Linked DNA regions of Oryctolagus cuniculus. The protein of the gene in region 1 purifies or fractionates together with the protein of each later gene. This does not show direct contact. Links are inferred from orthologs where the notes say so. Each region holds a gene or a part of one and is shown on either strand. Other genes may lie near its edges.

Region 1 (3,805 bases):
GCACTGCGCAGGCGGCCGGAGCCTGCTACAGGAGGGCCTAGGCGCCCTGCCACCACGCTGGGCACCTGAGCCTTGTGGCTTCGGCGATGGGGCCTCCCACCCTCCACCAGCCCACAGCAGCAGCACCACCCGGGGGCACGGGGGTGCCACTGGGCTAAGGGGGGACACCAGATGCTGCCCAGACGAGGGACAGCAAGGTCGGCCAAGGCGCTCGCCCAGCCTGCCCACTCAGCGGGGAAGCCCAGGGCGCGCAGGGCCACGTGTGGCCAGACGGTTTCCCAGGGCCTTCTCACTGGCACAAAACTGCTCTGGGCCGTACGGGTATCCAACAAAGGTAAGTTTCAGACACAGGAGCCCAGAGACCAAATTGTGGAGGGCAGGTGAGGGGCAGGCGTGGTGCAGAACCCCTGCCTGCAGTGCTGGGAGACTGGCCTCCCCTCCTGCCACAGGGCACAGGCCGCACAGGCGTAGGCGCCACACTGCTACAGCTGGGGAGAGGGCCAGGGCAGTGGCGGGGCAGAGCCAGGGAGCCCGCGCGGGGAGCGGGAGCGGGGTCCTTACACCACCCGCGCACTGTGTGCTTGCCGCACGCCATGACGTATTCGCTCTTCTGGTTTTTCCCAGGAACCACCTCGAACTTGATGGATGTGTCCCCCATTCCATGGTTTCTACGAGAGCCAAGACAAGGTGGCATGGAGCGGCGAGCAGAGAACGGGACTCCTGGGAGGGCTGCTCGGGGACGCTCCCCACCTGCTTCGCGGCGGGCGGGGGCGCCTCCATCCTCCCCACGCAATTCCACGGGCTCCGCCCAGGAGGAAGAGCCGGGAGCTCCTGCCCTACCTTTTAAGGCACTCGTGGAGGATCTGATACGGAGACAACAGCCCAGCCTTGCTGGTCAGCTCGTAGACCCGCGAGTCCTCGATACTGATGTGGTTAAAGTACTGCAACACCAAACGGATGCTGTGAGTCCCGGCCCGGCCGCCGCCCCCGGACACTTTCGCTGGGACCCCGCCTCCTCATTCTGACAGAGGGACAACCAGAGGCCGAGGCTTGAGGGAGGAGCCTTCTGGAAATCACAGGCGAGGGAAGTCGGGCACCTTGCAAAGTCCAGCTCTCCGAGGCCAGAGGCCCCACGGAGACGCCGGCCCAGACAGCAACGGGCGGTCTGGCCTGGCCAGCGTCTCCAAGACAAATCACAGCTGTGGCCCTGCAGCTCCGGCACGAGCACGCCCAAGGGAGCCGGCTGGAGAGCAAGGGCCTCACTGCGCTCCCCCGGATGCCGGCAGCAGCCTGGGCACACATCCCCCGGCTCGTGGCAGCTCCACTCCAACCTTCACTGGGCTCCTCTCCCCTCCCGTCACAGGGACGCCATCAGGCTGACTATATTTCCCAGGCACCCACGGCTGCACTGTGACAGGCCCTTCTGGGAACGTGATGGGGCCCAGCACAAGGTGGCCCGGGACTGGGCAGAGGGTCGCTTTTCCCAGCTGACAAGCAAGCTCCAGACACCAGAGTGGCCGCCCAGCCAGAGGGGTGCACGCCAAGCTCACAGCCATCACAGAGCTGGCCCCGCCCTGTTCTGCAGGTGTCTGCTCAGGGGCCGCCTGCCAGGACAGCGCATAGAGAGGGGACAAGTCACCTCCGAACAGGTCACCACTGCTGCAGACAGCAGGCGACGAGCCCAGGTGATGGGTGCCCAGAGGATGTCACGGACCACCCGACGCATGTAGACCCAACAATGCAGGTCCCGGGGACCCCTGCCTTGGAAAGCACAGACTACCGCAATCTACCCAACAAGTGAGATCCGTAGGTGAGAACCCCGGGGCTCAGAGGGCTTTTTTGGATCTGACCACCAAACACTTAGGTAAGGGAAGACAGGACTCTGTACAGACTCCTTCCAAATCCCAGCCAAGTAGGGACAGCTGCCAGCTCATCCCACGACGGCCTGGCACTCGGGGCAGATGCCCAGGAGCTCAGGAGTGGACCCTACACACACGCAGGAGCAGACTGGCACCATTACACAGCCCGAGGCACGCCCACTGCCCAGCTGGGGTCAGCCCCGGAACGGACTGAAAACACAGACTCAACTCACTGAACTTTTGTATTTAAAAAAGGCTAAACAAAAAAAAAAAAAAAAAAAAAAGATCAACAGACATAGAAAGGGTGCGTGGCAAAAACAGAAGGGCACATGACAAGATGCACGGCCTTTGTCGACGCTCAGCACACAGGACAGAGGAGCCTTCTCAGCCTGCTGAAGGGCAGCTGCAGGAGACAAGCCTGGACGCTGCCCTCGCAGAGACAGAGGACAGAGGCGGCTCCGCTCTCACCACGCTACCGTGGGCGAAGACACGGGGGCCGGGGCGCCCAGATTGGAAAAGGAGCGTTCACAAGGGACAGATCGGACCTAGGAAACCCAAGAAATCCACAGGGAAGTGACGGAGGCATAAAGGAGTCTAGCAAAGGGAAGACACGAGGCTGCTGCAGACGCGCAACGGCACCTCCACAAGGCTAGCAGTGAACAAGCAGGCGGAAACCGGATTCAGCTCCTGGCTCCGGCCTGGACCAGCCCCAGTCAATGCTGCCGCCGTTTGGGGAGTGAAGCAACAGATGGAAAGATCTATGTCACTCCCTCTCTAGCTCTACCTTTCAAATCATCAATCTTAACAAAACAAAACAAGGACGCTGCTTGGGACAGGGACACCCCAGCACATGCTGGACGGCCTGGGGCGTGTCCCAGCCCGACTTCCAGCTCCAGCCTCCTGCTCACGCGCACCCTGGGACACAGCAGGTGCTGGCTCGGGGCTGGCACCTCTGCCCCCACCGTGGAGACCCAGATGGAGCTGAGCTCCTGCCTTTGACGTTGGCCAGCCCCAGACGCTGCAAGCACTTGGGGAGTGAACCAGATAGGAGATCTGTCTCTTTTTTGCCTATAAAGAAATTGTTCAAAAGGAGGTAGAAACTCCTCAAGCATATCTCGGATGGTAGCGGGGAGCCTTACCCAAGGTGAAGTCTATCTGGTCTTCGACTCCAACACCCACAGCGTCTGAAAACCTGGAGGGCTTCCTGTTTACTCGGCGCCTCCCCACCCCTGAGCTTATGCCACCGAGGCGGCTCAGGACAGGTCCCAGCAGAGGGTGAGGGTGCTCAGCCCCTCCTCCTCGCTGCAGAGCACAGCCGCGCGCCACGACGCAGGCGCTCCCGGCTCCGCGGGGACAGAGGCTCCTACGTGCAGGATCCTTCCGGAACTCCTAAGTGTCATCTGCTCACGTGTGTGCTGTACAATAAACAGCTATCACAACTAAAATGTTCTCCTGAATCCTCTGAGTTTCTCCAGCAACTAACAAACCCAGAGGGGTCGTGGGACCTTCCTGGCAGAGGCAGGAAGCTGGGCCCCGCCAGCCGCAGGCATCTTAACTGGGGGCTGCCGAGAGGGCCTTCCCCCAGGAGGAGGCGGCAGGTGAACCAGCACACGCCCTCGGTGGCAGAGCTGGATTCCCAGGCCTGCAGCAGCTGCGCGGAGCCCTCCCACACGCCTCCTCGCCAGGGGAGCTTCCTTCTTCCGCTTCCTTCCAGAGCCACTCCGGGAAAGCGCCCCCGCTCCCCAGGAGAACCTGACCCACTCACTCAGGCAGTGAGGCAGCCGCAGCAGTCACCCCCCAGGCGGCTCACTCGAAATCAGGTTGGAACGCACCTCTTCCTGGAGAGGACACTATTCCAGCAGGCTACAGTTTTGGACTAAGTTCCTGCCTTAAGGCCCAACAGCCCTGGCTAAAAACCAAGATGGAGTCACTGATGCTCAAAGCTC
Region 2 (3,805 bases), on another chromosome or scaffold:
ATGGGATTTCCAGAATGCTACATACTTGTGGCAGTGTTTATTTAATTCATTTGTGGAAAGCTTACAAATAGATTGCAAACAAATTTGGTTCAGTGACAATGTGCTCTTTGTGAACTCTTCTCCATTTTCTTAAGTCACCTTTTTGTGTTTTAGGGTTGATTGTTTTTACAGTTTTATATAGATAAGAGAAATGGTTCAGGATCAATGGTATTGCTGTGCCTTTTAAGAGCCAGTTATTGGCCGGCGCCGCAGCTCACTAGGCTAATCCTCCACCTGCGGCGCTGGCACCCCTGGTTCTAGCCCCGGTTGGGACTCTGGATTTTGTCCCAGTTGCTCCTCTTCCAGTCCAGCTCTCTGCTGTGGCCTAGGAAGGCAGTGGAGGATGGCCCAAGTGTTTGAGCCCTGCACCCACATGGGAGACCTGGCTCCTGGCTTCACATCGGTGCGGTGTGCCGGCCGTAGCAGCCATTTGGGGGGTGAACCAACAGAACGAAGACCTTTCTGTCTGTCTCTCTCTCTCTCACTGTATAACTGCCTGTCAAAAAAAAAAAAAAAAAAAAAAAAAAGCCAGTTATTTCAGAGTTATTTCAGATGCCTAAACTTTTTGAATCCCTATAATTAAGAAGCTCTGAATTTGAACAATTTTTGAAGTTAGATAGCCTTTAAGAGATAGTAATTATTTTATTTTGCAATTTGAATTACCTATGTAAAGATATGTATTTATTTTCTTCTAAACATCTATTTTATTTTATTTTGTTTTAGTGAGTACGGCTCCACAGCAAAAACCTGTAAGTACTTAACAAATACATCTGTGTTCATTTTGTCATCAGGGACTGCTTACTATAGCGTTTCCCAAAGTATGACAGATGTTCTGATACATACTGAAGAGTAGACATGTTTATGAATGCTGTGTGAGTTGCTGTTGGGTTAAGATGAAATGCTTTCTTCAGGGCTGCAGTAATTAAAGGCCTACCTTCCTTATTCCTTTCTGGAGTGCCGTTGGCCACATCTGGTGAAATGTGAGGTTTGAAGTGTGATTGTTTCCAGGTCATTTACATTATTTCTGGTTGGCTTCCACGTTACTGCTGAAGTTCTTGTTCAGAACAAGTTCTGAAGTTCTTGTTCCAGTTTGTTTTCTAGCCAGTTATTAATTATGAGAGTGTTACCTATTTTGTGGCTCTATCAAAACACTATATCCAGTACATCAGCCCTCACTTTGAGGTGGGAGTTCAGTTCAAGTTGTGGGGGTGGGAGGCTGTGGTAATTGGGCTTCCTCATCTGTGAGGAGCCCAACGCGTTCCCTTAATTCTAGAGCAGCTTGAGATTGCTGGTTCTGTGGAAGACTCCAGACTGTCACTGCCAGTGCTTGCAAGTCACATGGCCATGGCCGTGGTATTCCCGCAGTGCACTTTGTATGCTCATTTCTTTGAATTCGTCCTGTCTTGGCTGTTGATAACACTGAGAATGTGAGAGCCAGACACCCAAGAATATTTTTGACCAACAGTGACATACACCTCTTTTGGCAGGTGTTTTGTTTTGTTTTTGTTTATTTGTGGCAGTAAGATGAGATGGTGTTACTTTGTACACAGGCAGCAGCAAATAAAACTTGCAAGAGGAGCTTCTTGTTCAAAGCCAAGAGTGTTGCAGGATTTTCAGTTCTTTCAGAGTTAAGTGGTGCAGTCTTTTGGGTTTGAACTCTCACCTTCTAGAGCAGGGCCTGATGGTAGACCCCACATGTGGTTTCTGCCTGCACTGAGTTCTTTTTTTACCACAACCCCAACCGCAAGGTGGACTTATGTCTGAGCTTGTGCCTGTCAGTGGGTAGGACACAGAAAAGCAGTTTGCTGGCATCTGCTATGCTGCCAGCACTTGTACTATTGGGTGGTACTTGAAAAAGATGGAAACTGACCTGTGGTGTTTTCTTAACATTGTAGATAGGAAAAATATCTAAAAACAAAAAGAAAAAGCTGAAAAAGAAGCAGAAGAGGCAGGCAGAATTATTGGAAAAACGCCTGCAGGAGATAGAAGAACTGGAGCGTGAAGCTGAAAGGAAAATAATAGAAGAAAACATCACCTCAGCTGTACCGTCCAACGAGCAAGATGGTGAATACCGCCCAGAAGGGAAACTAAAAGCGGCAGGGCTGGAGGAGACCGCCGAGGAGGAGACCGCAAAGGACAGCGGTCAGTGGGGCCTGGGGGCTGCTCGGTGCTGGGGGCCTGCACCTACTTCACACTGCCTCTTCAGATAGTGAGACCGTTCCCTGCACCTCCGTATTGGCAGTATCAGAGATAGGCCGGGCCCTCACTTGCAAAATATGGGCCAGGAATACGGTAACTTCTCAACATAGGGTTTAAAGTACAGAAAATGTCTGAGAAGCACAGAGTCTGTCTTACTAGTGACAGTCCTTCCTTTGGTTTGTAAGTAACCTTTGGCTAATTGTTGGGCACCACAAAAACCCTTTCTGAAGGCTGCAGAGAAGGTAGAAATTGAAGTACAACATTTTTTAATGAAGATTTTCCCTAAAAGCTAACTTATCCTGAGAATAGGCCAATTAGTGAGTAAACAAAAATTAAGATTTAGGAAACCTAAAGGTTTTACCCCAAGGGTCAAGAGGCATTCACTCTGTGATACATAAATGAAGCACGGCCAGGTTCAGTCTTGTGGAAGGGGAGGTAAGCACCCATGTCACAGAGGGAGAGGGTGCTAATTTCTAACCCATCCACTTTTTAAGGTGACGCCGAGGACCAAGACGAGAAAGAAGATGCCGAGAAAGAAAACATTGAGAAAGATGAAGATGATGTTGAACAGGAACTTGCGAACCTAGATCCCACCTGGATAGAATCCCCAAAAACCAATGGCCATATAGAGAATGGCCCCTTCTCACTGGAACAGCAGCTGGAGGAAGAAGAGGATGATGAAGATGACTGCCCAAATCCTGAGGAGTATAACCCTGATGAGCCAAATGCAGAAAGTGATTACACGTATAGCAGCTCCTACGAACAGTTCAATGGTGAATTGCCAAATGGACGACATAAAATTCCCGAGTCACAGTTTCCCGAGTTTTCTACTTCTCTCTTCTCGGGGTCCTTAGAACCTGTGGCCTGCGGCTCTGTGCTGTCCGAGGGATCACCACTGACCGAGCAAGAGGAAAGCAGTCCATCCCATGACAGAAGCAGGACCGTTTCAGCCTCTAGTACTGGGGATTTGCCAAAAAGTAAGTGTCCCTTCCCATCAGCTGTGTCTGTGGTGGCCCTAGGGTCGTGCCTTTGACAGATCCTGTGCATGGAGCTGGCTGGAGGCGGTGAAGCCATGGATGTGTGCGCTCGCCGTTCCCGTGGCCCTGCTTGTATACTTGGGAGCAACATGGATTAAAAATAAATTTTGTGCCGCTAGGCTTTCTCTTGGTCTCAGCAAATGAAATCTCCTTTCTGGGTTTTTCTCATCCTTCTATGTTTAGTCAGTGACATCACACATTTCCTAGAACTTAGTGGGTTTCTGCAGTATGTTGTTTTGCTTATAATTTGTGACGTCTTTGGTCTGGTATTGTTATTTTTCGTTTTTCTTTTATTTCTGTTTTTAAAAGTGTGCCTCCTCTATAGCTATATTGAGAAAGAAATGTCATAATTTATTCTGATAGTTGTTCCTGATTATAGGACCCTGCTCTTGATGAGTGCCTGGGATAATAATTTTAGAGAAAGTGGCATGGATTTAAATGTGATGACAGGTTGTGTATTGAATCTTGTGTTACTGTCTCTCTACCTGAGGCCCTGACCTACTTCGGATCTTTATTTCGGGAGCGTGTCA

The links.
Region 2: the proteins of DGCR8 (region 1) and SRPK2 purify together in Homo sapiens (affinity purification with mass spectrometry; 3 studies listed by BioGRID and IntAct, with this or other methods). This does not show direct contact. The link is inferred for Oryctolagus cuniculus from reciprocal best matches to the Homo sapiens genes DGCR8 and SRPK2.

What each region holds. Positions count from the first base shown.
Region 1 is NC_091452.1:27,771,964-27,775,768, reverse strand, and holds part of DGCR8 (microprocessor complex subunit DGCR8), read right to left. Parts: intron 942-3,805; coding exon 841-941; intron 669-840; coding exon 562-668; intron 1-561.
Region 2 is NC_091434.1:139,311,473-139,315,277, forward strand, and holds part of SRPK2 (SRSF protein kinase 2), read left to right. Parts: intron 1-762; coding exon 763-788; intron 789-1,934; coding exon 1,935-2,181; intron 2,182-2,732; coding exon 2,733-3,215; intron 3,216-3,805. UniProt on the Homo sapiens protein: Serine/arginine-rich protein-specific kinase which specifically phosphorylates its substrates at serine residues located in regions rich in arginine/serine dipeptides, known as RS domains and is involved in the phosphorylation of SR splicing factors and the regulation of splicing.